5 linked regions of the Macaca mulatta genome follow. The protein of the gene in region 3 interacts with the protein of the main gene of each other region in a pairwise test. Links are inferred from orthologs where the notes say so. Each region holds a gene or a part of one and is shown on either strand. Other genes may lie near its edges. The genes, in order: NUTM1, ZC3H12A, P4HA3, MAGEC2 and NDN.

Evidence for each region.
Region 1: the proteins of P4HA3 (region 3) and NUTM1 interact in binary tests that used the Homo sapiens proteins (3 or more experiments, as listed by UniProt). The two-hybrid records come from large-scale screens. The link is inferred for Macaca mulatta from reciprocal best matches to the Homo sapiens genes P4HA3 and NUTM1.
Region 2: the proteins of P4HA3 (region 3) and ZC3H12A interact in binary tests that used the Homo sapiens proteins (3 or more experiments, as listed by UniProt). The two-hybrid records come from large-scale screens. The link is inferred for Macaca mulatta from reciprocal best matches to the Homo sapiens genes P4HA3 and ZC3H12A.
Region 4: the proteins of P4HA3 (region 3) and MAGEC2 interact in binary tests that used the Homo sapiens proteins (3 or more experiments, as listed by UniProt). The two-hybrid records come from large-scale screens. The link is inferred for Macaca mulatta from reciprocal best matches to the Homo sapiens genes P4HA3 and MAGEC2.
Region 5: the proteins of P4HA3 (region 3) and NDN interact in a two-hybrid assay, tested with the Homo sapiens proteins (2 studies listed by BioGRID). The link is inferred for Macaca mulatta from reciprocal best matches to the Homo sapiens genes P4HA3 and NDN.

The regions. Positions count from the first base shown.
Region 1 is NC_133412.1:11,535,530-11,541,609, reverse strand, and holds the start of NUTM1 (NUT family member 1), read right to left. Parts: upstream 4,059-6,080; 5' UTR 3,526-4,058; coding exon 3,444-3,525; intron 1-3,443. Other genes in the region: NOP10 (H/ACA ribonucleoprotein complex subunit 3), read left to right, coding at 4,070-4,123, 5,033-5,173. UniProt on the Homo sapiens protein: Plays a role in the regulation of proliferation. Regulates TERT expression by modulating SP1 binding to TERT promoter binding sites.
Region 2 is NC_133406.1:203,321,441-203,327,508, forward strand, and holds the start of ZC3H12A (endoribonuclease ZC3H12A), read right to left. Parts: upstream 3,960-6,068; 5' UTR 3,816-3,959; intron 3,025-3,815; exon of another isoform or gene 3,022-3,024; 5' UTR 2,987-3,021; coding exon 2,538-2,986; intron 1-2,537. UniProt on the Homo sapiens protein: Endoribonuclease involved in various biological functions such as cellular inflammatory response and immune homeostasis, glial differentiation of neuroprogenitor cells, cell death of cardiomyocytes, adipogenesis and angiogenesis.
Region 3 is NC_133419.1:74,711,257-74,716,699, forward strand, and holds part of P4HA3 (prolyl 4-hydroxylase subunit alpha-3), read right to left. Parts: intron 3,805-5,443; coding exon 3,662-3,804; intron 2,021-3,661; coding exon 1,797-2,020; intron 1-1,796. UniProt on the Homo sapiens protein: Catalyzes the post-translational formation of 4-hydroxyproline in -Xaa-Pro-Gly- sequences in collagens and other proteins.
Region 4 is NC_133426.1:148,496,465-148,502,421, forward strand, and holds MAGEC2 (melanoma-associated antigen C2), read right to left. Parts: upstream 3,946-5,957; 5' UTR 3,832-3,945; exon of another isoform or gene 3,749-3,831; intron 3,097-3,748; 5' UTR 3,003-3,096; intron 2,695-3,002; 5' UTR 2,629-2,694; coding exon 1,507-2,628; 3' UTR 1,041-1,506; downstream 1-1,040. UniProt on the Homo sapiens protein: Proposed to enhance ubiquitin ligase activity of RING-type zinc finger-containing E3 ubiquitin-protein ligases.
Region 5 is NC_133412.1:6,263,800-6,269,425, reverse strand, and holds NDN (necdin), read right to left. Parts: upstream 3,626-5,626; 5' UTR 3,512-3,625; coding exon 2,546-3,511; 3' UTR 1,705-2,545; downstream 1-1,704. UniProt on the Homo sapiens protein: Growth suppressor that facilitates the entry of the cell into cell cycle arrest.

The sequences.
Region 1 (6,080 bases), on a different chromosome or scaffold from region 3:
CACAATGAAAGGGGCCTGAAGGCCTGAGATCCATAAAAGGAAGAAAAACTAAGAGCATCTCGGTGAAGCCCCAGCTCTCATCCTGGCTGTAATGACCCACCTCTCTGGCCCGGATGAATCCGGAAAAACTGCTTCCTGAACTCAAAGCGAAGCCACCTCTAGGGCTGGAAGGAGCCGTGAGGCTCTGAGCAGAGGCAGGATTTTTCTTTTTTTTTTTTTTTTGAGACCGAGTTTCGCTCTTGTTGCCTAGGCTAGAGTGCAATGACACAATCTTGGCTCACCACAACCTCTGCCTCTCAGGTTCACGGGATTCTCCTGCCTCAGCCTCCCGAGTAGCTGAGATTACAGGCATGCGCCACCATGCCCGGCTTTTTTTTTTTTTTTTTTTTTTTTTGTAGTTTTAGTAGAGATGGGGTTTCTCCATGTTGGTCAGGCTGGTCTTGAACTCCTGACCTCAGGTGATCCGCCCGCCTCGGCCTCCCAAAGTGCTCGGATTACAGGCATGAGCCACCGTGCCCGGCCAGAGTAGAGGCAGTTTATAATACATTCCAGCCTAGTTTTCAGGAAGGCATTTCTCTGCAACGGATAACTACAGATTATGTTTTCCCGCTAAAGTCCTTCCCACCTTACCCTCCCATCCTCCATCCTCCACATCCCATTCCCCTCATAGGCTCAAGCATGGCAAAATCCTAGAATAGGCTCCAGTTGCCTGAAAGAGACAGATGAATGAACGTGGGCATTCCCCCTTGAAACCTCTCGGTGCCAGTCCTAAGACACATACCTCTGATCCCCTCTCCCACCACAAGAACACACGCTGACGTGCCCCCTGTTCAAGAGAATCAAGTTGCTAATTGCCATCCATTCTCTATACTCAGCATGTGTCCTCGGAGACACCTTGATCTGCCCTTAAGGAGGTCCTCTTCCTTCCCCGGCCCCTAGTCTTAATGGTACAGTCTCCTTCTCTAGCCTCCCCAAGTGGGATACCTTTGATGGGGTGTAGCACCTCGCATTCCTTTAGGTCAGCCCAAAGAGCTTGTCCCAAAGGATTTGAGCAGGTACCAGAAATCCTCCTCACCACCTAAAGACTTACCTCCATCTGAAGCCATCCTCTCAGCTTTGGGCACTAACCGTGGCTGTCTGGAAGCCTCCAGAATGAGGCAGTCAGGTCCAGGACCCAGAGTAACCTGGCTCCAAGTAGGTGCACAGGGATCCAAGGAAGGGAAGGTAAAGATCAGATCAAACAGAACTAGAATATGGAACTCAAGGCAGTCTGCTGTGGGGGAGGGGAGAGGGAAAAGTGGGGTGAGGGTGGGGAGAGATATTCCATGAAGGGTTCTAGTAACTACGCAAAAACCAGGAATTCCCTTCAAACTACAGTTTGGCAACACAACTGATGTTCGCCCTTTAGGGCTATTTGTAAATTCTTTCTCAGATTCCCAACACATTACTGTTTTGAGTTTGGTTCCCTATACTTCAATTCTTCACCAACATATCTCATTTTGTGTCCTTCCATCCCAGCCAGTTCTGTAACTGACTTCCTATTAACAGCAGGTCGATGGTAGACCCCTGACTTAATCCAATGATGGCTATATTTTCTGAACTAAATTCAGACCACATTGGTCTGTATACTTAAGGATCAAGGGAACTAAAGTCTAAAATTAGAATTGTCAGATGATCCAAGGTGCTCGATTGCTGTGTGCACATCATTTCCTTGGAAAGCTGTCCAATCTACTAGCATAGGCTCTGTACTCCACAGAAGCCTTACCCTTTGCTGAAAAGCCTCACTAAATAAAAAAGCTGCCATGCAGTTTAAAACCTCAAGAGTAGAAAGTCCTTCGTTTTGTTAAATTATTTTGGTTTAAATTTTAAAAATAAAATGTATCTGCTAAGGTTCCTGGTGACTATTTCAGGCCAGTAATTCCCAGACCATCCTCTACAGCCACAGCTTCATCCAAACGTGGATTTCCCCCAAAAGACCTTCCCTGGGGTTCATGGCGTCTTTCTTGCTTTCTCTGAGATATCTTTTCTCTTTTCTAAAGACTCTTTCATTAATAAGACCTGAAGGCTGAAATCATCCTTTTCCTTTCTAACAAAATTAACTACTTAGACATACTTTTTTTTTTTTTTTTTTGAGACAGAGTCTTGCTTTGTCGCCCAGGTTGGAGTGCAGTGGCATGATCTCTGCTCACTGCAAGCTCTGCCTCCCGGGTTCACACCATTCTCCTGCCTCAGCCTCCTGAGTAGCTGGGACTACAGGCGCCCGCCACCACACCCGGCTAATTTTTCTATTTTTAGTAGAGACGGGATTTCACTGTGTTAGCCAGGATGGTCTCGATCTCCTGACCTCATGATCCACCCACCTCAGCCTCCCAAAGTGCTGGGATTAGAGGTATGAGCCACCGCGCCCGGCCTTTAAAAAATTTTTAACAGGTAATACATCAGCAAGGTTCAAAAATCAAACTACAAAATAAAATACATAGCAATAAGTCTGCCTCCCACCCCTTACCCCTTTCTCCTGTAACTAGGTTCTCTATCTCAGAGGAAACCAGTATCATCTGTTTCTTGTGAATACTTGCAGAGATTTTTTATTCAACTACAAGTAAATACAAACCATATCTTTTTTTTTTTTTTGGGACAGGGTCTCTTGCTCTGTCACCCAAGCTGGAGACCAGTGGCGTGATCTCAGCTCACTGCAACCTCCGCCTCCCGGGTTCAAGCGATTCTCCTGCCTCAGCCTCCCGAGTAGCTGGGACTACAGGTGACCGCCAGCACGTCCCGCTAATTTTTGTATTTTTATTAGTAAAGACGGGGTTTCACCATATTGGCCAGGCTGGTCTTGAACTCCTGACCTTGTGATCCACCTGTCTCGGCCTCTCAAAGTGCTGGGATTACAGGCCTGAGCTACTGCACCCGGTCACAAACCATATTCTTTTTTTCAGACGGAGTGCCACTCTGTCACCCAGGCTGGTGTGCAGTGGCGCTATCTCAGCTCGCTGCAACCTCTGCCTCCCCGGCTCAAATGACTCTCCTGCCTCAGCCTCTGAAGTGGCTGGGACTACAGGCGCCCACCACCACACTCAGCTAATTTTTTCTGTATTTTTAGTAGAGACGGGGTTTCGCCAGATTGGCCAGGCTGGTCTCGAACTCTTGACCTTGTGATCCGCCCGCCTCAGCCTCCAAAAGTGTTGAGATTACAGGCGTGAGCCAACGCGCCCGGCCAAACCATATTCTAAAAAAAAAAAAACCTTGCAGGTTTTTCTGGTTACACAACATATATGCCAACGCTTTTGTCATTATAAATAAGGCGTAATGATGATCTTTGTAATTATATTTTGGTTCTCATTTTCATTTCTTTAAACGAATAAGGAGAACTTCTATATTCTTTAAAAAATTGTAAAATCTCCTAGAAGGTGCACTTTATTACGCTATTATTAGCTACTCACCACTATAAGAAAGAGCGCTGAATTTGCGGTAGGGACCTAAGTTTAAATCTTGGTTCGACCGCTGAAACATACTTCGTTTCATAAAATAACTTTACGCTATTTTCGCTTTACGGAATATTGATACTCAACATGCATTCTTTACCGCCAACGCTTTGAAATGGAGCAGGGAAACTGGATGTAAAAGAGGGGAGGGAAGAAAACCTCTTCCTTCTTCCCTAGGGCAAAGGGGCTCTGAATCCTGGAGCCCTTGTTTCTTCAGGCACTGGAAACTCACTGCTCCTGAAAGGGGTGTGTATCTTGAGATAAAGACAAGCTTCTATACGTCAATGTTCTATCCACATCCATCCCTACCCCCCTCTAGCGCCGTGTACCTAGCACACAGTAGGCACACTCCACGTGTTTTAGCCTGCAAAGTTGCAAGTGTGGCCCCCCAAGCCAAGCCCTGCCCTCGTGCGCCCCCTTCTGGCTAGCTGAAAATAAGGCAAAAATTGACTACATTTTCCGGCGTGCCAGGAGAGAGACTTCCGGCTATGCAGGAAGGAAATTGACGAACACGTGACGCGGTCGGGCGGACCCCTGCAGACGGAGCAGCGGAGCGAATTGGGACCTCTGGCTTACGAGCAGTCATGTTTCTCCAGTATTACCTCAACGAGGAGGGAGATCGGGTCTATACGCTGAAGGTGAGGAGAGAAAATAGGTTGTAAATAGGCATGGCGAGAAATGTAGATGGGAGGAATGGGTGAGGCCATACACGGAGTTACCTAGCTGGGTGGAGGGAACCAGAAAGTGCAGAACCGAGGTGGGGGAGAACCGGGAGCGCGCGACGAATTTTTTATTTTAAAAAAACAAAATTGGCCGGGCGCAGTGGCTCACGCCTGTAATCCTAGCACTTTGGGAGGCCGAGGCGTGTGGATTACCTTAGCTCAGGAGTTAGAGACTATTCTGGGCAACACGGTGAAACTACGTTTCTACTAAAATACAAAAATTAGCCGGGCGTGGCGGCGTGCGCCTGTTTTCCCAGCTACCTGGGAGGCTGAGACAGGAGAATCGCTTAAACCCGGGAGGCGGAGCTTGCAGTAAACCCGGATAGCGCCATTGCACTCACTTTTCTTTTTTTTCTTTTTTTTTCTTTTTTTTTTTAAGACAGGGACTCGCTTTGTTGCCTAGGCTGTAGTGCCTCGGCTCACTGCAACCTCCGCCTCCTGGGCACAAACAATCTTCCTGCCTCAGCCTCCCGAGTAGCTGGGACTACAGGCGTGCGCCACCACACCTGGCTAATTTTTGGTTTAGGGTTTTTTTGTTTGGTTGGTTGGTTTTGTTTGTTTGTTGTAGAGACGAGGTTTCGCCATATTGCCCAGGCTGGTCTCAAACTTCTGACCTCAAGCCATCCTCCTGCCTCGGCCTCCCAAAGTGCTGGGATTACAGGCGTGAGCCACCGCGCCCAGCCTTTTTAAGTTTTGTATTTCTCTATTTATTTGTACAACTTTTTGAGCTGATCATTGCATCTTCTGTTTTCATGTTTGCCCTTTTTCGCGCTGTCCCCACCCCATCACTCCTGTACTGACATACATTCTCTATTCCCGGAGCAGAAATTTGACCCGATGGGACAACAGACCTGCTCAGCCCATCCTGCTCGGTTCTCCCCAGATGACAAATACTCTCGACACCGAATCACCATCAAGAAACGCTTCAAGGTGCTCATGACCCAGCAACCGCGCCCTGTCCTCTGAAGGCCCCTTAAACTGATGTCTATTCTGCGGCCTGTTACCCCTCGGAGACTCCGTAACCAAACTCCTCAGTCTGTGAGCCCTGATGCCTTTTTGCCAGCCATACTCTGTGGCATCCAGTCTCATCCTGGTGATTGAGCATGCTTGTGTGAGGCAGTCATGGTGGCATCACCCATAAAGGGAACACGTTTGACTTTTTTTTTCGTATTTTAAGTTACTACCAGATTATTAAAGATAAAATGATTTGAAAAGCTCTTATTTTGTGTTGTTGGAGGAAAGGATTGGTAGTATTGTTTTAAAGGGAGGGAGATGATGGACGAGAGCACTCCAGAGAGTTGCAACAACACCACTTGGAAGAAAAACTTCAGTCCTGTAGCAAGAGTGGTCATGTGCTGTTAGTGGTAGGAGGGTATTGGGGAAGAAAGATTAAGACTTTCACAGCTGTCAGCATTCACTGAAAAATACCCCTGTTGTCACGTAATTTCTCATCCCTTGAAATAACATTTTGATTAAAAATGGAAGAGTACTTGAAAAAGTAATAGGTATATTATAGAGAGAAGGCAGTGAATTGAAAGAAGACCAATATTTCCTTTTTGTATAACTTTGAGAAAGTTACTTAACCTGTTTAGTCTGATTTTTCTCCTTATTAACTTATCTTTGAACTCATTGATTTAGTGGTGGGCTTTTTTTTTTTTTTTTAAGACAGTCTCACTCTGTTGTCCAGGCTGGAATGCAGTGGTGGCTGACTACAACCTCCGTCTCCCAGGTTCAAGCAATTCTCCTGCCTCAGCCTCCCAAAGTGCTGGGATTACAGGCATGAGCCACCTTGGCCGGCCTAGTGCTATAGATTTTAAAATTGTTTTGTGGAGTCTGTATTTTAATTCTGCAATCTTTATTTTCTATGATATCA
Region 2 (6,068 bases), on a different chromosome or scaffold from region 3:
CTAGTGGTAAGAGACATTCAGAACTGGAACCCAGGTCTGGGCCACTTGGTTGCCTTCCTGTCTCTAACAGAAGACCCAGAATTTATTTGGGAGAACAAAGCTCCCAAAATTAAGTTTAAACAAAGTGTGTTCTAAGAGACAGGCGGCGAAAGGGAGAAACAATGCTGGGGGCAAACTCCTGCTCTTCCTTCAAAATGCTTGTGAGATGTCACTGCCTCTGAGAAGCCTTCCCTGACCTGCCACAATGGGTCAGGTCCCTGGTCTGTGTCTTCACAATGCCCAGTGCTTCCCCCATCACATCATCCCCTTCCCTGGGCCTTCTGCCCTGCCTCTCAAAACCGTGGCAGCTGGGTCACCCCAGGCCCAGCTCCTTCTCTCAGGTATGCAGTGTGCGCATGTATCCACCCACCCGCCTCCCTCCGGGCACGTGATCCTAGGCTGGTATCTTGGAGCCTTGGGAACTAATGGGATGCCAGGGCTCCCAGGGCAGTGCACTGCCTCTGGGCATTGAAAATCTTGCCTGGGGACAAGTCGGTCCTCAGCAGCCCTAGCACCTGAATATTCCCTCAGCAGATGGAAAAACTGTGATCAGTGGGTGCTATCAGAGCCCTCTTGGTACAGCACATGAGGCCTGGAGTGCCCCCCTACAGCTAGCTTTAGTCTGTTTCACTGCACTGGAGGAAGCGCTGCTGGCACAGGAAAACCAGACATCCCTGCCCCCACCCCAGTCCTCTTTGCCCGTAAGGTCAGGGTCCCCCAGCCTGGCGAAGCAGACACTGATAGGAAGTGTGTGTAGAAGACTCCAGCTAGACTGCTCCTGCCCCAGGACAGAGGGCAGGGCTGGGCCAGCCTCCCCAGGTGAAAAGATATGCCTGGGCTGGGCCTGGTGAGTGGAGAAAAATTCCCTTAGAAGGAAACAGAGGTGAATTTCCCCATAATTTGCATATGATGGATGGGGGCTAGCCCGCCTGCCCCTGGGGAGGAGGGTGGCCGGGGCAGGAACCGAGTAGCAGCTGAGACAGGAAGTTTGAGGCTGGAATTCCCCTCCTGCCACTACCCCAGCTCAGAAACCCCCGAGGTGGGTGCGTAGCTCTGCTTCTCAGGAGCAGGCTCCTCTGAGCACCCCCCAACATCACAGCCCCTCCTCCCATGTCCCTCCTCCTTCTGGATACAAACACACACCGCACTCGGCTGCTCCCAGGGCTCAGCCGCTCCTGGCCCACGCCTCCAGAGGAAGGAGTCACACAGATCCAACCTAGCTCCTAGCCCAGCCACATGAGGCTGGACACTGAGAGGGAGCCCCCCTAATCTCGAAGCACAGGCTGTAACCTGCTGCCTCTTGGCATAGAAACTGGATTTTCTCAGCCTCCCACCCAGGCTCAGCCCAAGTCAGAGAGAGGAAGACTGGCCTGAAGGTGACAGAAGGAGGGAAGAGGCCTCAGCTGCATGCCTGCTGAGCCGGGCCAGGGCCAGCTGGACAGTGAACTTGTCCCACGGGGGCCACAAATCAGAGAGGGCAGAGGCCGATGTCATGCCAGCCTTGGGTAGCCCACCTAGGAGCTCCCTCGGGGCAGCCAGAAAAGCAGCCCTTCCCAACCCCGTGTCTGGGGTCTCCCCATCCATGCCAACAGGAACTTTTCCCTGTGAGCCATCCACCCAACACTGACTCATCAGCCTGCCTTGGAGGGAACTGGGAAAAAGTTAGGCCGGAGGGTGGGGCCTGGATTGACAGGAGAAGTCTGGGTTCCCCAAGGTCAGCAGCAGCCCTGGCTTCCCCCTCTGCCCCTACCTTCCCACCCCATTCCTGTGCTTGGGGATGGGGGTGGGAGTCACTGGGGGCTGAGTCCTGGCTTTGGCCCCGGGGAACCTCCAGAGACCAGTCCAGCCCAGGCTGCTTCAGCTGAATCAGTGGGGATCCAAGTCGCAGCTCACCTGAGGCCAGAGTATTAGGCCACTGGCCCACAACCCATGTAAAACTGGACCTAGCCTTGAGGTCACTCTTGGACATAGTCGCTGGACCTGTTTTTGTGGGAGCCTAGGTCTGAGACAAGAAGGCCTCAGAAGCCCAGCCCCTGAAATAACAACAACAACAACTGCTTACTACCACTGCCTACTACCACTACTTTGGTTCCCGAACGCTTGCTCCTCTCCAGGATCCGCATAACCCCTCCTCACAACACCCACCTGAGGAGATCAGGTTCAGAGGGTGAGTGAGCTGCTGCCCAAGGGTTGGTCCCCTTTACAGCCCTGCCTCACATTACAGAAGAGGAGCCGAGACAGTGCTGGCCTCAGGGAGGGACCCACAGCATAAGGCGAGCTCTGTGGACAGAGGGACCTGGGCTGGAACCCTGCCTCTGTCACCAGTAGCACGACCCTAGGCAAGCCTCATAAAAGGCTTTCCCTCCCTCTAGACCAGTCCCTAAGAAGACAGTCACTCCTTCCAGCCCACCAGAGCTGCAGACAGTCATCCTTCCATGTGTCCTGGCCACAAGAGAGATGCGAACCTCATGTGTCTCGGCCACAGAAGCGACACTTACCTCATGGCTACATTGCTCCCGTCGATGACCACTGGTCTTAGGTCACTGCCCTCCTTGTCCTCCTCTGGGAGTGGAGGTTCCAGGTTGGGAGCCTTAGGGGTGCCCCCACCCCGCGGGACTAGAGGGAGCTGAGGGCAGGGGTCCGGTGAGGCCTGGCGTTCCCGTTCGGTGGCCGTCCCGTGTTTCACCAGCTCGCCCAGCACCGTGTTGGTGTCTGCCTGGACGCCCAGCTTCTGTAGGACGCTGTGGATCTCCGAGGATGAATAGCCCAGCTTCCGGAAGAAGTCCACCTTCATCTGCAGTTCCACCGCCGAGGCCTCCTCAGCTGCCGGCTCTTGGGCTGGCCTGGGGGTGCCCTGACGGCTGTGGCTATGGCTGTCCTCAAATTCCCACAGACTCATGGTGGGGCTGGCTTCCAGGACAGGCTTCTCTCCACAGGGGCCACTCATAGCTCAGACTCCTGGAAGGCACCACACCACAGCTCCTACTGAACAACCAACAGGGTTAGGGACGGGGAATAGCGCTCTCTCCCACCCTCCCTCCCATCACCACACCCAGCAGATGAGGGATGGGTGGCACTACACACTACATCATGTTATTAGTTCAGGTTGTCCTCTCAAAAGCTCTCCCAGCTAGGCATTCCCATTCCCATTCCCATTCTATAAAGGGAGAAACTGACCCACAGACATTAAAAACTTGCTCAAGGTCATCCAGCTGTTAGCTGGTGGCTCGAAGATCAGAACTTAGTCTGAACTAAGACTGGAACTGCCCCAGCTGGAAAGACTCGAATCCCCACGCCAACCCAGGGGGCCCAGAAGGCGGGACGGGGTTTTCAGATGGAATCTTGGGGTTGGAAGTGCGTCGCGAGGCCCGGGGCTTCCCCACTGAGGCCATCGCTTTCGCCCACCCGTCCAGCACTCAGAGCTCAGGCCCAAGCAGCGCAAGGCCCGTGGCCGGACTCCCGGAGCCGGGGAGGGCAAGTTTCCGGGGTGACCCGCGGGGAGAAAAGTTGCTGGGAAACTCTGGTTGGCTGCCGGGAGCTGGTGACGCCGAGGCTGTCCCGGCCCGAGACCCGAGCCCGCTCGGTCCCCGATCCGGTGCTCTTCTCCGGCTCTCTCAACTTGGGCTAAGTTGGAGGGGTACTGAGGCCCGGCGGGCTGGATAACAGGACCCCGCCCTTCCCCACTCCTCCCCTCCCCTCGGCTCGGCTCGGCTCGGACCCCGCCAGAGCGCTCCCTGCCGCCTCCCCGCCGAGGCCCGCGCCCCGCCGCGCCTCACCCCGCCGAGCGCCAGCCGCGGCCGGCGGCGTCTCCATGGGGCCGAATCCCGGGGGAAAGGCCAGCGGCTCCTTTATATGGGGCGGCGCGCGGGCAGGTGGTGGTGAAGCGCTGACGCGGAAGCGGGCAAGGGGCGGGGCCGTCCGGAACCGCCCTGGGGGCGGGGCCTCGAGTCCCTTCCTGCTCCGCCCCTCGCGTCGCGGCCCCGCCCCCGCGGCCGCTGCGCGCCGGACGGGGCCAACCAGGGCGTCAGGGTCCTGGGGACGCCGCCTCAAGGCCGCGGCGGCGATGAGCTCCGAGCGGGACACTGAGCGGCCCGAACGCGCAAGATAAGCACGGACTGAACCAGGTACACGTACCTGCCGGGGACGCACTGACCGAGGTGCGTCCAGGACGAGTAAAGCCGCGAACGCTCGGACCTAAGAACTTGACAGGTACACCCTGCCTGATGAAGCTACGGCCAGGTGCGCATCGAGTGAATCAGGTACACAGAGGTTGGTCCACGCACCTTGGAGGCAGGTCCATGGTTATAAAGACAGGTACATCCAGACAGACCCTTTCCAGATGGAGTCAGGCCCCCTCAAGACACGCTGTGCTTGAAGCCATCACACAGAGGTGGGCCACCCCCAGGGACAGGTACACTTTTCCTGAAATCTGTACCTTACTAGGACCGAAAGGCAGGTTCAACCAGCAGATGCACAATGACCGAGGCAGAAAACCAGGCAAAAGAGGGCCATTTACCCCAATCACCACATGAGTGTCCACACAAGAATTCTGTCACCCACACCGCAGAACTCACTGACCGCCCCCACTGGAGGAACACCCTTGCTCCGTGAAGATGCTTTTAGTTTCCCAGGTCAGACCTGATTTCTCGCATGAGCACAACACTTCACTGTAGCTACTCGCGAGCTTACAGACAGAGGTCATTATGCTGATGTTACCCTTGAGAAATTCTGCAAAGGCTAAACTGCCCCAGCTGGAAAGACTCGAACCAGGATGGAGAGCTCCTATTCTAGTGCTCCTATTATTTGCCGTTTTGTGAACCACGGGTGATTGAGGGCAGAGGGGAGCCTGGCTTCCAGTGTGTGTGTGTGTGTGTGAGAGAGAGAGAGAGAGAGAGAAAACACAGGGCCCACACGCTGGAGGACAGAGCCGCATGCCATCAGTGCTTACCATGTGCCAGTCCTTTCTTACATTCTCTCTACTTCATCATAGGCATGTGTCCTATAAGTGCTAGTGTTATAATAAATACTTGTTTATTATAAAAGACACCATAGACACAACTGTACATGTACAGCTTAAAGGATAATAGTAATAATTTAAAAAGCCATGTATCCATCACTTAACTTAAAAAATAGACCAGTGCCAGTACCTTGAGGCCCTCTGGGTGCCCCCATCACAGCCTTCCCCCGACATCCTGAAGAACTAGTTTCCTGAATTTTAATTGTGCTAGTCATTCTCTTGCTTTTCTTGTAGTTTTACCACCTTTGTATGCATCCCTAAATGGGATATTGTATAGTTTTGCTGTTTTTTACTTTGTGTAAATGGAATCATTCCATAATTATGTGACTTCCTTTTTCATATAGGATTATATTTTCAAAAATCCATTTTGATTGCCTGCATACCTGTAATTTATTTTACTACTGAATAGTGTCCCGTTTTATGAATATCCCACTGGTTACTTATTCATTCACCTGTTGTTGGATGTTGTTTCTAGGATTTTTTTTCTATTAGAAAGACTGTGCTTTGGATATTCTTGTATGTATCTTAATGCAGTTGTACAGCGGAGGAAATGCATGTTCAGAGATTCAGAAAGGTGAAGTCACTTGCTCAGGTTCTGGGGGCTGGTGGAGCTGGAACTCATGTAGCTCTCTCCAAGGCAGTCCATCTCCCCATCCACACCTGCTTGTTTGGGAGGCCACCAAAGACCTCAGGGAGGCAGGCATGTGCGTCTCTAGCTGGGCCCTGAGGCTGTTCCTCGGGGCTTGCCTGCCCCTACCTAGCCGTGTTCCTGCTTTGTTGCCTGCTCATCTTTGAAGACCCCAAAGTGTTCCCTTCTCTGTGCCCCCCAGGCACAGCAGCTCCAGGGGCTTGGCAACCTGAGGAGAGAGGAAACACAAGGCCCCCTGCCATGTACAGCTCACATCCCTTGCTGGGCGCCTCACATGCTTGCTGTCACTCCAGCTGAGTACAGTGCTGGCCGCACCCCTAACCTCACAAAAGCCACTTTTACAGATGAGAAGAGCTCAGTTAT
Region 3 (5,443 bases):
GCAGCGAGCCATGATTGTGTCACTGTACTTACTTGGATGGCAGAGCCAAACCCTAAGAAAAAAAAAGAATTTCATAAACTAGAAACTTCATAATCCATAGAGGAAGGGATTGGGGAAGTATAGATGAAACAAATTTGGCCACATGTTGATAATTATTGAAGCTTATTCTGTGACTTGGCAATACCACTCCCAGGTATTCATCCAAGAGAAATGAGAATAAATGTCCATAGAAGGACATAAAAGGATGTTAACAGAAGCTTTATTCACAGTAGCCCAAACTGGAAGCAATCCAAGAATCTGTTAACAGAAGACTGGATCAACAGTTTGTGGCATATTCATAGAATGGAATACTACCCAGCAATAAAAAGAAATGAACTACTAACAAATGATACAATATGGATGAATTCCACAGATACAATGTGCTGAGTGAAAGAAGCTGGACTCAGAAGGGCATATACTATATGGTTTAGGATCACGGCTACCTGGGCAAGGGTGGAGCAGAAGGGGTGGGGTGAGTGGTAAGGAGGATGAGTGGGGTTTTAGCTGTATGTAACATGTTTTTTTTTTAAAAAATATATTTTAAAAAATGAAACAAACATAGCAAAATCTGAACATATATCCATGACAATGATAGATATAATTGCTTGCTATATTATTTTATGTCCTTTTCTTATATTTGAAAAGTTTTCTCTCTCAAAATAAGTAAATAAATACAGAAAGAAAGATTGCCAGTAAGACTTCCAGGAAGTGACTTACTAAATTTTCAACATATGGCTTTACTTTCAGAAAGGCCTCACTAATGAAGAATATGTTAGTACCATACATCAAACTATTTACCTGGCTTAAATTTAAATCAGCCATGAACATGATGATTGAGCTCTGATTCCGCTCAGGATCCCATAAAAGAGAAAACGGTAAGTAGAGAGACTCAAGCAGCCCACTCTGCTTTAATTTGGAAGACTGACTCCCAAAATTTGGAATCAGGACACATGAGACCCACTCCCAGATCTGTTGACAAATACTGTAGGTGTCAGGAAAAATACACCTTACTGCAATAAACACCTTCAAAGGTAAAATGGATTTGCTCCATTGCTTTTTATGGCAAAGGCTGGCAAAGAGTATATTACAAAATGATCTCAAGTGTGATTACAACTTATAATCAAAGATCGGTTAAAGACCTCAGATGGGTGGGGGGGTGTTCCTGAAGTCTATTTCCTCAAGTAATGTTAAAGCAAATGGCCTTAGATTTTGGACACTATTTTAATTTTGTATTTCTAAATGCTTAGGAAATGTTGCATTGGATTCCAGAAAGTCTCAGGAGGCTGTTTCCATGATCCTACCTTTCCATCACCATCTCTTATCCTTTTCCCCAACCTTGTGTCCCTGACCCCCTGATTTCCCTTTCTACCCAAGGGTTCATGCACTGGCCGGGTGCTATAGTTAGGGTGACCAAAGGACCATTTTCCCCAGTTCATGTCTGTTGTTCTAGCATAATTAATAACACCCCTTTCAATCTCAAGAGTGTCCTAAGCATATAAACACCTTTATTACTATGGAAAGGCCCTGAGATTTGGAGTCAAGACTGGGTTCAAGCTTTAGTTCTGCACTTAAAATTGCATAATCTTAGGGCAAATTATTTACATTCTCTGAATCTTGTTTTCTTTCTCTGAAAATGGAAATATCAAATTTCCCAGTTTACTGTAAGTATTAAAAAGAAGTAAAAGCAATTGGGACACAGGTATTTCATCCATAAGAAACCAGAGCCAAGCAACTGGTCCTCTCTCGAATATTGTTACCTTGCCGACTTGGAAGCAGTCATCCCCTGTGAGAGAAAAGAGCCGTTTGGGGCTGTACAGGTCAGTGATGGCAGAGCCAGTGACTCTCTGAAAGACACCTCGGGCCAGGCCTTTCACATTGAGCATGTACACGTCCTGCAGCCGCATCAGGGCCCTTGCTGCTCCCTCAAGGTCCTCAAAGGCTGGAAGGTCTTGCTCCACCTTCTCATAGCCATCCTTCAGAGCTGTAAAAGTAGTAAAAACATCAACCTGTCATTCAAGAAACAGGAGTTGGGCATTTAATACATGCAAGGCATGACCACCTGTTCAAATATTTAGTGAGATCAAGTTGGATTTGTCTTTGTGTTCCCAGAGGCAAGCACAGTTCCTGGCACAGGGTGGATGCTTAATGCAATTCTGAATGAGGAACATTCAGAATGAGTGAATGAGGAATAAAAATTAAGGCACACGGCTTCATTATATTGTCCTATCCTGTATGTCTCCAGAAGTCTTGCTCTTTAGGGAAACAACTCTTCTTTTTCTTTTTCTTTTCTTTTCTTTTTTTCTCTCTTCTCTCCTCTTTTCTTTCTTTCTTTTAATAGAAATAGGATCTTGTTCTGTTGCCTAGGCTGGAGTACAGTGGCATGGTCATAGCTCGTGCTTGAATTCCTGGGTTCAAGTGAGCCTCTCACTTCAGTCTTCTGAGTAGGCAGGACTTCAGGCACACGCCATCACATCCATCTAATTTAAATACATTTTTTTGTAGAGACAGGGTCTTGCTATGTTGCCCAAGCTGGTCTCAAACTCTTGGCCTCAAGTGATCCTTCCAACTTAGGCTCCCAAAGTGTTGAGATTATTGGCAAGAGCAACCGCACCCAGCCTCTTCTCACTGTTAGCTTTCCAAAAATCAACAAACTTCTTTTTTTTTTTTTTTTTTTTTTTTGAGACAGGGTCTTGCTCAGTCACCCAGGCTAGAGTGCAATGGTGCAATCTCAATCTCAGCTCACTGCAACCTCCACCTTCTGGGTTCAAGCGATTCTTGTGCCTCAGCTTCCCAAGTCTACAGGCATGTGCCACCATGCCTGGCTAATTTTTGTATTTTTAATAGGTTTCGCTATATTGCCCAGACTAGTCTCAAACTCATGAGCTCAAGCAATCTTAGCCTCTCAAAGTGCTGGGATTACAGGCATAAGCCACTGCGCCCAGCCCAAAAGTCAACACTTTTTTTTTTTTTTTTTTTTTTTTGAGACAGTCTCACTCTGTCGCCCCAGGCTGGAGTGCAGTGGTGCGATCTTGGCTCACTGCAACCTCTGCCTCCCGGGTTCAAGCAATTCTCCTGCCTCAGATCCTGAGTAACTGGGATTACAGGCATGTAATCCCACCACATCCTGGTAATTTTTGTATTTTTAATAGAGACGGGGTTTCACCATGTTGGTTAGGCCAGTCTGGAACTCCTGACCTCAAGTGATCAGCCCACCTCAGCTTCCCAAAGTGCTGAATTACAGGCATGAGCCACTGGGCCGGCCGTCAACAAACTTCTTAAAGCACAAAGCAGAATAAATTGGGAAAGTGATCTTGCTATAGATGACACTGTAGTGACAATTTAATGAAACAGAAACTACTAGAAGACGGTTATTTTCTATACATATATAAATGGAAGGATTTATCTTGTACTTCGTCACAGGATTGTATAATGTATAATGTATAATCATACAAACCGATTAGCAAGGGGGGCTAATTCTTTGTGCTAGCTAGAACTAAGGATATTAAGTAATACCCACCTACTCCATTACCCTTTGAAATCACACCCCAACAGAATCTCTCTCCTTACCACCAGTCAGGAGATAGAATCTTCTCTCTTACCCTCCAGCCCTCCTCCTCATTACCTCGGATGTTCTCACTGGCCTCCAGACTATGTACCACATTCCTCCAGTCAGACTGTAGGCGTTTGATGAGAGTAAATGCAAGCAGAGGGTTAGCCACAGGGGTTGTTGAATCCTCATGCAAAGAAAGTACCTTGTCATAGAATCTGAAAGAAAGGAGTAGAATGATCTCACCTCCTGATACGACCACTACACCTAGGGAAAGCTGGCATGGTGTGTGTACATTAAGAGTAGCTAACATTGACATGCTGAACCTCTTGAGATTCACATAATAGTCCAACCAAAAAGCCATGCAAGCACAAAGAATATGAAAACTATAGATACAACAAAAGTAGGTCTGCTCTTTTGTTCATTGAATGAGTCAGTCTATATTAATCAATTACTGTATATCAGGCACCATGCTAGAGATATAAAGGCAAGACAGGGTCCAGCTCTCAAAGGGATCACAAAGTCTTTTTCTCCTGTCATCACTGTATATGCAATACTTAGTATCTGGTAGAAACTCAAAAACACTATTGAATTAATTATAGCCACTGTGATGTGTGCTATATAGTGGTCCCCAACCTTTTTGGCACCAGGGATGAGTTTCATGGAAAACAATTTTTTCCACGGACCAGGGGCATTAGGGGATGGTTTTGGGATGAAACTGTTCCACCTCAGATCATCAGGTACCAGTTAGATTCTTACAAGGAGCACACAACCTAGATCCCTCGCATGTGCAGTTCACAATAAGGTTCACGCTCCTATCAGAATCTAATGCCGCCACTGATCTGACAGGAGGCGGAGCTCAAGCAGTAATGCTCCCTTGCCCACCACTCACCTCCTGCTGGGGGGCGGGGGGCGCCTCCTAACCAGCCATGGACTGGTACCAGTCCCTGGCCCAGGGGTTGGGGACGTCTCTGCTATGAGAGAAGTGAGCATATAATGCTGCAGCTGTGCAGGCAGGGCAGCTCACCCAGGTGGGAGTTAGAAGGGGGAAGGAAAGGCTTCCAAGAAGAGATGGCATTTGATCTGAATCTGAACGGATTTGTTAAAATACTGAAAGCTATGACTTATTGAGCTCCTACCATGTATTGGCCTGTTGAGCGCTATAAATAGGTTGTCTCATTTAATCGCCCCCCACCTTCGGACCTACACTTAGTGTAGATTTAATTTTACCCATTCCACGGAGAGGAAACAGAAACAAAGCCACACTGTTAGTAAAGGGCAAAGCCAGGATGGAACCCAAGTCTGACTAACTCTGAAACCTGAGTTCTCAGCTGATTATGCTATATGGTTTCTTAAGGAGCTAGAACAAAGAAGAGAAGAAGAGTATTTTTCAAGCCAACAGGAACCATTAGTGTACAAAGGCACAGAGGCTTGAGATATATTTGTAGTAAGTCAATCTACACTAGTTATTTGCTAGATGTCAGACTCCATGCTAGATTCTAGGGATACAAAAGCAAGATGGGGTCCAATACTCAAGGATTTCACAGATAAGAAAATAACTTTTTTTCTCATCACTCTATACCTAAATTCAATACATATTTCTATGAAAGAATGAATGAAGAATACTCTCCTAGGAGCTAAGGAAAAAATTCTGAATAAGGAAATAATCTTGGTCTCAAGGATCCACAGTTTAGTGAGTAAGGAAGATACAAATAATTACATTACAGATGCAATACCAGATTTAAGAACAAGGCTTGGTGGGGAGGACAGAGAGGGGATGACTAATTCGGCCACAGCAAGTTAGAGAAGGCTTTAAGTGAGAGTGGTACTGTTAAAACTATGACTTGTTCACATATA
Region 4 (5,957 bases), on a different chromosome or scaffold from region 3:
TTATAACCCCAAGGCTACCACTGTCTTTTATGAAAAATTTCACTCTTGTTTTCTGATCTAAAACATCTCAGAGCATATGTAGCTGAATATGTCATGGAGTACCAACTCAACCAAAAATCCGGCTTCATAAATGAAACTCAGTCCATTCTCTTTCCAAAATGATATATTGTATAATTTGGGTAAGTAGAGAATTCCCCAAGTGGAATGCGACTCAATGATCCTGGAATTTGAGTCAAGGACCAACTCCTTTTCGCCTTCCCCAATGCTCATCGATCCAAAGCACTAGTTTTATGTATCCTCCACTAAAAATCTAGCCCTTGCTTGGAGTTGCCCACATTAGATTCAAAATCACCTAATTAAATGGCCTTTCCATGGAGTAGGCTCTGGCTCTCCCACGCCAGGTAAGTGAGTCAGCCTAGAGGCTTCTGGGCACCACTTCAAGGGATTATCACTACATTTCTCAGGAAACCCTTGCAGATGATGGATATCAATCACCTGGTTCTTGCACTGTGTTCAAACTCACCAGTTACAGAGCCACAGGACACCTTCCATTACTTCCCCATGTGGAGACTCCTCTCTGCTTCATCCTCCACCCAGAAGCAACTGCTCAGAGCAATTTCCCATTCCAGGCTCTTCCCTCACCCTCCGAGAGTCTGGTCCCAGCCACCACCCAGCTTTGTAACTACCAGCCCTCAGAAAAGCAAGTGCAGTTTTCCAAAGCCCCAAGCTGCCTTAGTTCAAGACCTTTACACTTGAAGGCTTGCATGTGGAGTCTCACCTCCCCAGCCCCTTTTTAACTTGTTCTTTAGATTGTAGAGAACATCTTACCACCTTCTTGATATGGCTTCTGCTCCTAGACTCTACTGTTTTATGGATAGAGATAAGTCATGCTTTCATTAGCATCCCCACTACTAACAGTGACTTCCACAAGCAAATACTGAAAGAATGCTCAGCAAATAAAGGAGTCAGTGGGGCTTTCTTTTATTAAGATTTAATTTCTGCTACTTTCTTCAACAAGCTAAGCAAAGCCAGGTATATATCTTTAATTTTCAAGAACAAAAGAATAAGCAGGACAAGGAAATGAAAATATTGACCATCCTTCACGTTGTCCCACTATTTAACTGCTGAGTTATTGCGTATTGTAAAAAACAAACAAACAAACAAACAAAAAGCCTATTACAATACCACACTACCCTGTTACTGATCACAAAATAAGGGAGAAGGTATTTCCATTTTTTTTAAACAAAATATCAAACTGTTACTCTTAAACCAGATAAACAGCAATACATGTGTGACCAATATTCATAAATTAATGCTCTGAAGCTAACTACCTGCTATTCAAAGGAAAAGCATTCAAAAAGTACTGAAAAACAGGTAAATCTCCACATCGCCCATATGGGACAGAAATGCAAAGAACATTATGTTCCTCGAGCCCCACCTGGCCCTCCACTACCTAGAACCTAAACTGCCTTGTTCAAACACAGAGCGCAGAAACTATTCTAGACTTCACTCAGAAAAGGGGAGGTTGCTGGACATGACACTGAGGCTTTCAGTGGCCATGACAGTGGCATCATCTGTGGTATCAGTCATGGCCTGGGCTCTCTCTTCCACATCTTTCAAAGCATCCTTGTACCAGGATGGAAAGGAACTAGGGACAGTGTTGTTCAGCTTGGCTAAAAACTCGAGTACTTTACTCTTGATGCTTTCTGAATGGGCTCTCGGACCCCACAGGAATTCATAATATGGAGGAGAACTGTTTGGCACCTCCCGACACTCCAGGTATTGCCCCTGCACCCAAACTTTAGTGAGGAGCTCCCTGGGCTCCCCATAGATGAAGTGCTCCCTCCCAGCATACACCCCTATTGCATTCAGCACTTCCCAGATGACCTCCTCAGAGGCAAAGCTGCCCTTTATGAAGATCACACTCAGAATAATAATCAGGAGGCTGTTCTCCGGCATGCCCTCGTCATCACTACCCTCATCAGTGAGGTCTACTGTGTTTGCAAACACAGAAAAGTGGTCAGGGCCCACTTCTATCAGAGCAAGGCCAAAAAGGAGCTCCATGAACTCACGGGCTCTCTTGAGTATCACAGGAAAGTAGTCTTTGTACTTGATGACAATCATCAGCATCTCTGCCTCTGTTACAGGCTCCTCTGCTTTGTACCTGAGGAGCAGGAACGCCACTAACTCGGCCACCTTTTCATCTAGTGTATGTGTGAAAGAGGACTCACTGTCTGGCAGGCCCTGACAGGTACTTGTATCCTCCTCTTTTTGGCTGCTGGACTCTTCACTGAATGAGCTCCATGAAAAAGAGGAGCAACAGGAGCTCAGAGGACTCTGGGAAGGACCCTGTGGAGGACTCTGTGGAGGACTACTGGGAGTGCTCTCGGGAAGACTTGGTATCACATCAGACGGCACCTCCTCCTCAGGACCACCAAGAATCAGAGAAGAGGATGAGGAGAAGGAAGAGGGGGAAAATACTAAGTAGAAAGTGGAAGAGGAAATGGAGGAGGCTTCCTCCTCTTCCTCATCTGTGGGATCCTGTGCATCTACCCAGTCCTCTGACTCAACTGAGGCCGGAGAGTCGTCGTCAACGTTGTGGAATGGAACGCCCGGAATGGGAGGCATAACGACTTCTTCAGGCGCAGCAGGTAAAGGTATCAACAGGGATATGGATGATGAGATCCAACAGGCCTGTGGAAGAGAGTGACAGTGTGAATGGCCTCAGCTGAGAAACTCACCCATGATGGCTCTGACAAAGGCCAACTTAGAGCTCTTCTTCTCTTAAGGTGGTGCTCTAGGGCCTCACAGGTCTCCTGTCTTCCTAGGGAGTTTGTCTGCTGGCAACCTGTAGGAGGATGTGGGAACACACCTCAGGGCACAGCTGGCAGGCAGAGCCTGAGACCCCAGGAATAACAGTAGGTGGGTACCGCCGGGTGCTGTGGGGTCTCCTCTGTTTCTGGGGGTAGGGCCCTTGGTACACAGTCAGGGTGTGCACTCACCTTGACTCCTGGCACTGCCTGGGTCTCCTCTGCTGTGCTGACTTTAGGATGTGTGCCTCACACCCAGTTTGTCACCACCTGGTTCCTGGAGCACCTGCAAGAGGAAGTGACGGAGCCCCTCAGGTTAAAGACTACAAGTAGAGTCTTGGGCCTCCCAGGGCTGACAGCTGGGGCTGGCCAGAATCCCAGAGCCCCATAGTTCTGGACTGCATGGCCCCCTCAGAATTTAATTGGAAACCTCACGGCTTCTCAGAGAGGGTCAAGCCCCCACCACTCTGCTGGCCTAAGGCAAAACCTCCTAGCAACCTCCACATCCCTGAGAGCAGTGGGAGGTAGTGCAGTGGCAGCCACCTCCCAGGACTCTACCATGGAGGTGGTCTGGGTGGCCTCACGTCCGTTCTGATGCACATGTGACTCCTGTCTTCTGTCTTATCGCCAGCAGGGCCTGGGAATCTTCCCTCTGCCAACCAGAGGCAGCTCCCCGTGCTGACTTGCCACGGGACCCCCAGAACAAGGCCTCTGCCTCCCCTCCATCCCTCACCCAGAAATGAGATGGCTGCCACTCAGCCTGAGCTGGCAGGGGAGTTCTACGAGGGCTGATTCTCGAGGAGCAGGGTGGGAATCTGTGGGAATCTGTCCTCTGAGATGGGGGTTCCCCCAGTCCTCCTCAATGTCTTCCTATTTATTCCCTAGAGGGCTGGCACCTCCTCCCTTCTTCTGTGGGCATTTTCCTGTCTGGGACCTACCAGTCCCACTGCAGCGGCAGTGCAGGCCGGGATTTCATCTCTCTATGGTGGGAGGTCCCTCAGTTCTTCCTCAGGGCCCTCACCTTGTGGACTGGCCAGGTCTAAGACTCCCCGCCGCTGACTTGATTCGAATCTCCTTGCAAAATGCCTCCGATCCTTTGGATTCCCAAGATGGCCGTCTGGAAAGCACATCCGGGAACCCGGCCGTAGTGGTCCAGGGCTGACGGCAGCGTCAACGTGGGGCGGGGCCTCCTCTCTGGGGAGGAACCACTCCCCACCTCTCCGCTTCTTTTCCATCCCTTCCTTCCCACATCCCAGCTGCCCTCCAACCCTTCCTGCTCACTCCCTAAACCTTGTGGACCTTTTCACTCCCACCTCCCCAGTCCTTGACATCCCACCCTCCTTTTTCCAGGGGTGTCAGCAGGGAGCGACTTGGTGCAGCCTGCACCTCCCCTCCGTGTTGGGAGGTCACCGTCCTTCCACATCTCTTCTTGTTTTCTGGCCAGTTCTGGGACTTCTCTCTCTGCTTAACTGAAGCTGCCCTCCTCAGAGACAGCCTCCCCTTCTGCTGACTCCCAAAATAGAAGTAAGAAAATTGTACATCTGGGGACCCTGATGGGGTCCTCCAGAGTTGGCAGCAGGCACAGGGACAGGACAGAGGGCACTACCGGTCATGGGTGTTCCCTTCTTGCCCTCCTGAGAGGCTGTGCCTGGACTCCTGAAATGGCCTGGACTCCCTGTCTCTGTGCATCTGAGTCTTTCACCTGCGAATAAGCCCCTCCCATCCCTGAGACCTGCAAGGTGGAAGAGAAGTAGAATCACATCCACCCACAGTGGGATAGGGCCTCCTGGCCCTAAGGCAGGCCTCCACTGCCCTCTGAAATGGGGTGGGAAGGCCCCTATGGCTTTCTCAAGGTATTACTTCTAAAAGAGCCTATACTCCTTCCTTCTCCTGTCCAGACAGCAACATTTGTTCCTTCAACTTCTAAATTCCATTCCAAGTTTTTCTACTTTACTGCTGTGAGTGAAGTTAATATCATCTCTCCCATAGCCTGTGTGTTACAAGGCTTCCTTATTGTTGCTTCTTTTCCTATTCTAGTCCCTGAACAAAAATCACTGTCTTTTCAGCAACCCGTGACCCTTTAAAAAAACAATACGTGATTAAAGTTTTAAATACACACATCAGATTTAACTAGAATGTGAAGTTATATGTATTTTGGAAAATGCATGGAGTCCCATATCTGCAAATCAAGTATCATACTGACCGGTTCCACCTGCCTAAAATTCTCCTGTGCATCCCGGTTGATGTCAATCACTGCACTCTACAAAGCTCCTAGCAACTCTCTTCTGTTTTCAGTTCCTATAATTTTAACTTTTCTAATTTGTCATATGATTAGCTTCATAAAATACTGACTTAAAAGTATGCCTGTACTATTTTTTTATCACAACTAGCAAGGAATGAGAAATTCTGTTATTCTATATCTTCTCTTACATTTAGTATTTTAGATTTTCAGGTTTTAGCCATTCTCATAAGCATGTATTGGAACCTTCTTTGGTTTTTGTTTGTATCTTCTTAATGACATGACATTGGTCATCTTTTTATATGCTTCTTTTTTCGTTTGCTATATTCCCTTTTGTAAAGTGTCTATTCAAATCATTTGCATCTTTTTATAGATGAATAAACTTCATTTTTAGAGCATTGTTAATTCAAGAATACAAAGAGAAAACTTCATCAGAATTAGAGTTCCTACATGTCTACACCACCCGCCCTGCACTGTTTACTGCACACACACACGCACAGAGTCTATCTTTTTATTTACATTTTGTATTATTATGACATGTTTGCTACAACTGATGGACCTGTATTGATACCTCATTCTTAAGTCCATTGTTTACATCAGGACTCACTCTTAATACTGAGGATACTATAAATTTTGGTAAGGGTGTAATGGCAAGTATTCATCATTGTGTTATCACACAGAATTGTTTCACTATCTTAGAGCTCCACTGTGTTCCACCTAATTAATCAATCCCCCTTGCCCCAACCCCAACCCTCAGCCCCTGGAAACCAGTAATGTTTTTAGTGTATTCATCCTTGCCTGTTCCAGAATGTGGTATGCTAGGAAGCCTTTTTAGATTTTCTTCTTTCATTTAGCAGTATGCTTTCATGAGTCCTCCAGGTCTATCCCACTAACAACGACTGAAAGTT
Region 5 (5,626 bases), on a different chromosome or scaffold from region 3:
TCTCTAGGTCTGGCTGCCTCCTAGGCAGCATCGGGGAAGAGTCGCTCTGCCCCATGCCTTACTCCTTTCTCACATTCTGACATTCTGTTTCTCCTGTAAAGGCTAGGTCTTCTATGGCCTGGCTAGGGTGCTTGTGTGAATGAACTTGGGACAGCTTTGGAAAGGGTGGTTCTCCGTGCCTCTCACAGCAGAGAGGGAAAGTGGACACAAAACAAGGAGTTAAATGGGGATGTAAAGGGACTGTTTGCCTAGTGATTTCTGGGCTTGACTGCAAGAAGTCCACAGGGGTTACAGCTCCTGCAAGGCATCAATCCAGCAGTGAGGGGAGTATTAAGGCATTAGAGAAAATGACCAGCACTGTGTGTGGCAGGAACAACAGCCCATAGTCCTACTCCAGAAACGAAACATCCTGGATATCCCCACAATTTTAAATGATAAGGGGCAGATTTATTTTGATTCTGGAGAAACTTTTTGATGGGTTGTGGGGAGGTAAGATTTCTAAACAATCCTAACACTTTTGAAGAGGTGAGACGTTCACATTGGTTTTGTGTAAGAGGTGCCATCAAAGCCAGGTCACTCCTGCCTGGGTGATTGCAGAAATGTCCCCCTTTCCCCACAGAACCCCCTTGAAAGACTTCACCAGAAGCTTTTAAACTGGGATGGATTTCATCTCAGCACGAACAGGGGCTTCAGCATTTCCAGCACCCGCCCCCACCTGTTAAGTAATGCCAGTAAGTGTTGGGAATTCCAGCTCCCAATCCAAATTATAATTCCCTCACCCTAATAGGACTCCCAGTTTACTTCTTTGAGGTGTTATGTGACACGTGTCCTCTTCATTATTAGTCTTCCACAGAAAAGTTTCTGGCTTTGGCCAAATGGTCTTTCCCACTCTTTTGTAGTTTAAAGGACTTCTGTTCTTATTAAAGCCCCTTTTGTCCCCCTTACCCCTTGCAGGACTAAAAATTCACAATGAGATTTTCCTTCAGGCATTGCCCCTAAAGCCCACTTGCAGCCCATCCCATCCTCTGAGGATTACCTAGTGGCTCACCGCAACTCAAGGGCTGCGAGGCCCGAGACATCCTGATGGGCAACCCACCTCCCTCTCTTAGGTGTCTTGTGTGTTTGTCAGAGAAAGCACCTTCACCTCCAACCCTCAGGAAAGATTGTTTCCAATCCCAGCTTCACTGCTCAACAGGAATATCACTTTATTAGGTTAATTAATCTCTCCAAAAGTAAGTTTCTTAATTTGCAGAATCAGAATGATATTGCTTTCTCCAAAATATCCTAAGAATTAGAAAAATAAAATTCCTAGCCTTTTTGTATGTGTGGCCCATGAACCCATGTGAGTGTGGGCTCCCACATGAAATTTCAATATAAAGTTAAAAATAAATAACCTAAAAACCACAGGGTGTAGGGGAGTTGAAGGCAGGTGGGGACAAATGTGGACTCTGGATTCATTGTGAGTTCTAGTCCTAGCGCCTTCTCTTATTAACCTGTATGAGCTATGGAAAGTCCATTACCTACATTATTCCTGTGTTTCCTCCATGGTGCAGAGGCAGTTCTTGCCTGCCTGACAGGCCTGTTGTGAGGATTAGATAAAAGGAGAAAAATACACGTCAGGGCTCATGTACAATGTCTCACTCTTTAAGTGCCCACAAAGCATCTATTAATTTTGATAAAATGTAGAAACTTAAGGGAAGGAAATTATTTTTGGTTTTTATTCCCATAGGATGTGATTATGGACAATCTTACTGTTTTGTTTTTTATGCTTTTCTATATTTGTGCATGTTTTTGAAATAAACATGAGTTAAAGACAAAACTACAAACTTCACAAATTTAGGAGTAATCATGAGTAGCGATTTTTCCCACCCCATTAGGGGAAATAGTTATATCTGTGTATACTGTAAAACAGAGAATTGTCTCATTCCCAACCATACTGCTTTGTTAAAATGATAACGTACACTTCCAGAAATGATTGTATCACAAGAATCTTTAATGTTTACTTTAAAGTTGACTCACGGTGGGGTTGTATATGTGTTTAGTAAAGTGTGCCAAGTGCTCTCACATTGAGACCAGTCCAGTTCAAATTAGTTTACTCCACGAGGATGTTTTCAGTCCCCAGCAAGGTCATGAGGGCCTTGACATTTCTTGGTTAGGCCGGCTTTGCTGGTGAGTTTTTCCAAACTCTGCAGGAGCAGTCTACCCCAACACACATCTCAGTCCCATGTAAATTAATAAGATGGAAACGTTCTCAATGTACTTCATCAGTTTAGCACGTCTCTGATACAAAAATCCAAGAAAGGTACCACAAAAGCGAAAGCACCAACCAAGCTTACATATAAACAAACATGCATACATCCTAAATACTACACAATAGTACCCAAATGAACACAACATTGCATTAAAGGTATAAAAGCACTGTACTGAAAACGTAAAAGTTACACGTGAATACTGCACTGTAAATCCTGAACACTCTAATGACCCACCCCCACCCTTCCACAGCCCTGGTGAGGATCAGAAAGCATTCATCTGCCTCCAGACTTGGCTAGTCCTCGGAGACACTGCTGCGAGGGCAGTGGGCAGCGGGATTAGCCTCCCGCAGAGCTCTGGCCTCCTCCAGAGCCTCTCTGTATCGGGAGGGCCAGGCCTGGGGGTCTTTCTTAAAGACCCTGGCCAGGAACTCCATGATTTGCAGCTTGGTGATTTCGCGGCTGGCCCGGGAGCCCCAGAAGAACTCGTACTCGGGCGGCTCCACGTACGGGACGCGCTGGTACTTCAGGTAATTCTGCTGGACGAACTCCTCAGTGATGAGCTTCCGCACGTCCCCGAAGGTGGAGTGCTTCTTCCAGGGCCGCAGCCCCAGGATGCGGAGCACGTTCCAGACCGCGCTCTCTCTGGCGCCGCGGCCCTTCACGTAGATGAGGCTCAGGATCATGAGGAGGAGACCTGTCATGGGCATGCGGTTGCTCAGCGCCACCCTGTCCAGCTCCTCGGGCTCCAGCGCTTTGACCAGCGCAAACTCCATGGTGTGCAGGCTGGTTAGCCTCAGGTGCAGCCCGAACACCCGGGCGAGGATGAGGCTGGTGCGCCGGAGGATGCTCCTGCACCACTTCTTGTAGCTGCCGATGACATCTTTCACCATGTCTGGAAACCAGATGATCATCTTCTTCTGGTCCTTGACCAGCACGTACCACATGAGCTCGTGCGCCTTCTGCACCAGCTGCGCCGGGGCTGGCGGGGCCGGGCCGGGCTGGGCCGCGCTCGGGGCCTGGTGGGCGCGGCCCTCCTCCGCGGCCTGCTGCAGGGCCTTCGGGTCGTCCTCGTCGCTCGGGGCCTGGGGAGGCTGCGCGGCCTGCGGGGCGGCCGTCGGGCCTAAAGGAGGGCTCTGCGGCTCTGCCAGGGTCTCGGACGGAGGAACCCCCTCCGGAACCCCAGGGCTGCTGTGCACCTCGGAGCTGGGGGCCTCGGCTGCAAAGTTAGGGTCGCTTAGATCCTTACTTTGTTCTGACATATCTGCGCCGTCTGGCAAGGGCAGGGCCTCTGCGTCCAGGAGCTCTTCAAGCCTGCGCTCCCTCCGCGGATTCCTGGAGAGGAAGTGCGCGTTGCTGTGCGCGGCGCCTTCCGCAGCGGCGGGCAGGGCGGGGCGGCGGCGGGACGCGGCACTGCGCCTGCGCGACTGCGGCCTTGGCCAGCGGCTGGGGGCGGGCGGGGCAGCGCGGAGCCCCGACGGGGAGGGTCCCTGGCTAAGCTTCACCTGCGGAGAGAGCGATCCCGGGGTTTCCCGTTTGGGCTGAGGGGATCTAGGGCAGGAGAAGAGTGCGATGGATGCGTACTGGAGAAGGGGCCAGTTTAGGAGAAAGATGATAACTTAAGTTTTTGGGATGTTGGGGTCAAGTTTCTTGGGAAACGCTTACCTGATATATCCAGAATTAAGTTAAATATGAGCGTCCCAGAGAAAGGTCTGGGCGGCTGTGTAAACTTGAGCTTTATGCGAACGAGTGAGAGGAACAGTCGGGCTTGTCCAAGAAAATGTGTAAAGTGTATGTCTGAAGTTGGAATCCTGAGAAATTCCAATAAAAAAATGATTGACTCCCTCCCTACCAAATCAGAGGGGTTGTAAGAAAAGGAGAAATGCAGCGTGTCCTTAACGTAATTTCCTGTCAACCCATGTGAACTATGAACCTTTTAAGTAGGCAGCGGACTTAGAGCATCATTAATGCTTTAGTGGGCATAAATTTGAGTTTTACATTTCCTTTGGGTCACTTTGATTCCATTTTATTTTTTTCCATACTTAGTCCACAGCAGAAGGATTGCTATATCTTTTAGCACAAACTTGTATAATAATGTCTTTTTCCCTCTGCCCAGCACCCTTATTCTCCGATTCACCTTCTCCCAGGACCCTCTCTGAAGCTACTGAGTCCTCCACGTTGGAAGCCACACCCAAGTCCTTCCTGAGATTTAAAAAAAAACAACTAGGTCTCATAGGTAATATCTGGTAGTGTCTCTGAGATGACCCAAGGGTAGCAGGGGCAACATGGGTAACCCTGTTTTCTAAGTATAGAAGACAGATTCCCACTGGGCAAAGACAAAACTCGCTCCTACAGGGTCTCCCTGAAAAAAGGGTCATTGGTGGAGCCTCTGAAACCAAGGGCCTTGATGCTGCTTCAGCATCCTTGGTCTGGGCTGATGTGGTCCTTCAGCGCTTCCAGCGTTTCTTCTCATCAGTAGCTTCTTAAATATGTTGAGTCTAATTATTGCCACTCGAAGCCAAAAGCACATTTAAAAATTGTCTTAACATGTCTAGAGTCCTCGCTGTGAGTATGTATCTTTTCCCACTTGTCACTTTATTTTTCCTCAAGCAGGTTGATGTTGAAGGGTTTTCTGTGCTCTCTCTCTTTGGGTTTGCATGCACATAACACTTTTGGCAGAGCCATTCCCACACCAGTCCTTCCAACAGGCTCTTTAGCTTCCCACTTCACCAGGGTAATTCCTAGATATCAGTCTTAGTTGGAATTATTTCAACACTTTTCTCCTTCTCCTCTTCCTCCTCCACCTCGTCCTTCTTCTCTCCGTCTACTTCTCCTTCTCCTTCCTCTATTTATGGATATTTACCACTTTCTTGGGAGCATCTTACAGAAATATGCTAATTCATTGTTTTGTAATCCCAGCACTTTGGGAGGCCGAGACGGGCCGATCACAAGGTCAGGAGATCGAGACCATCCTGGCAAACACGGTGAAACCCCGTCTCTACTAAATAGTACAAAAAAACTAGCTGGGCGAGGTGGCGGGTGCCTGTAGTCCTAGCTACTCGGGAGGCTGAGGCAGGAGAATGGCATAAACCCGGGAGGCGGAGCTTGCAGTGAGCTGAGATCCGGCCACTGCACTCCAGCCTGGGCGACAGAGCGAGACTCCGTCTCAAAAAAAAAAAAAAAAAAAAAAAAAATGTCTCTTGAACAGACTTATTGCCCCCATGCTTCTTAAATATAATCCTCATTTATTGCATTTAAATCTCCATCAATATTCTTCTTTATTTTATTTGGGTATGTATTATTTTCTAACTATTTAAATAAAATATTTAGGCCAGGTGCGGTGGCTCACGCCTGTAATCCCAGGACTTTGGGAAAGC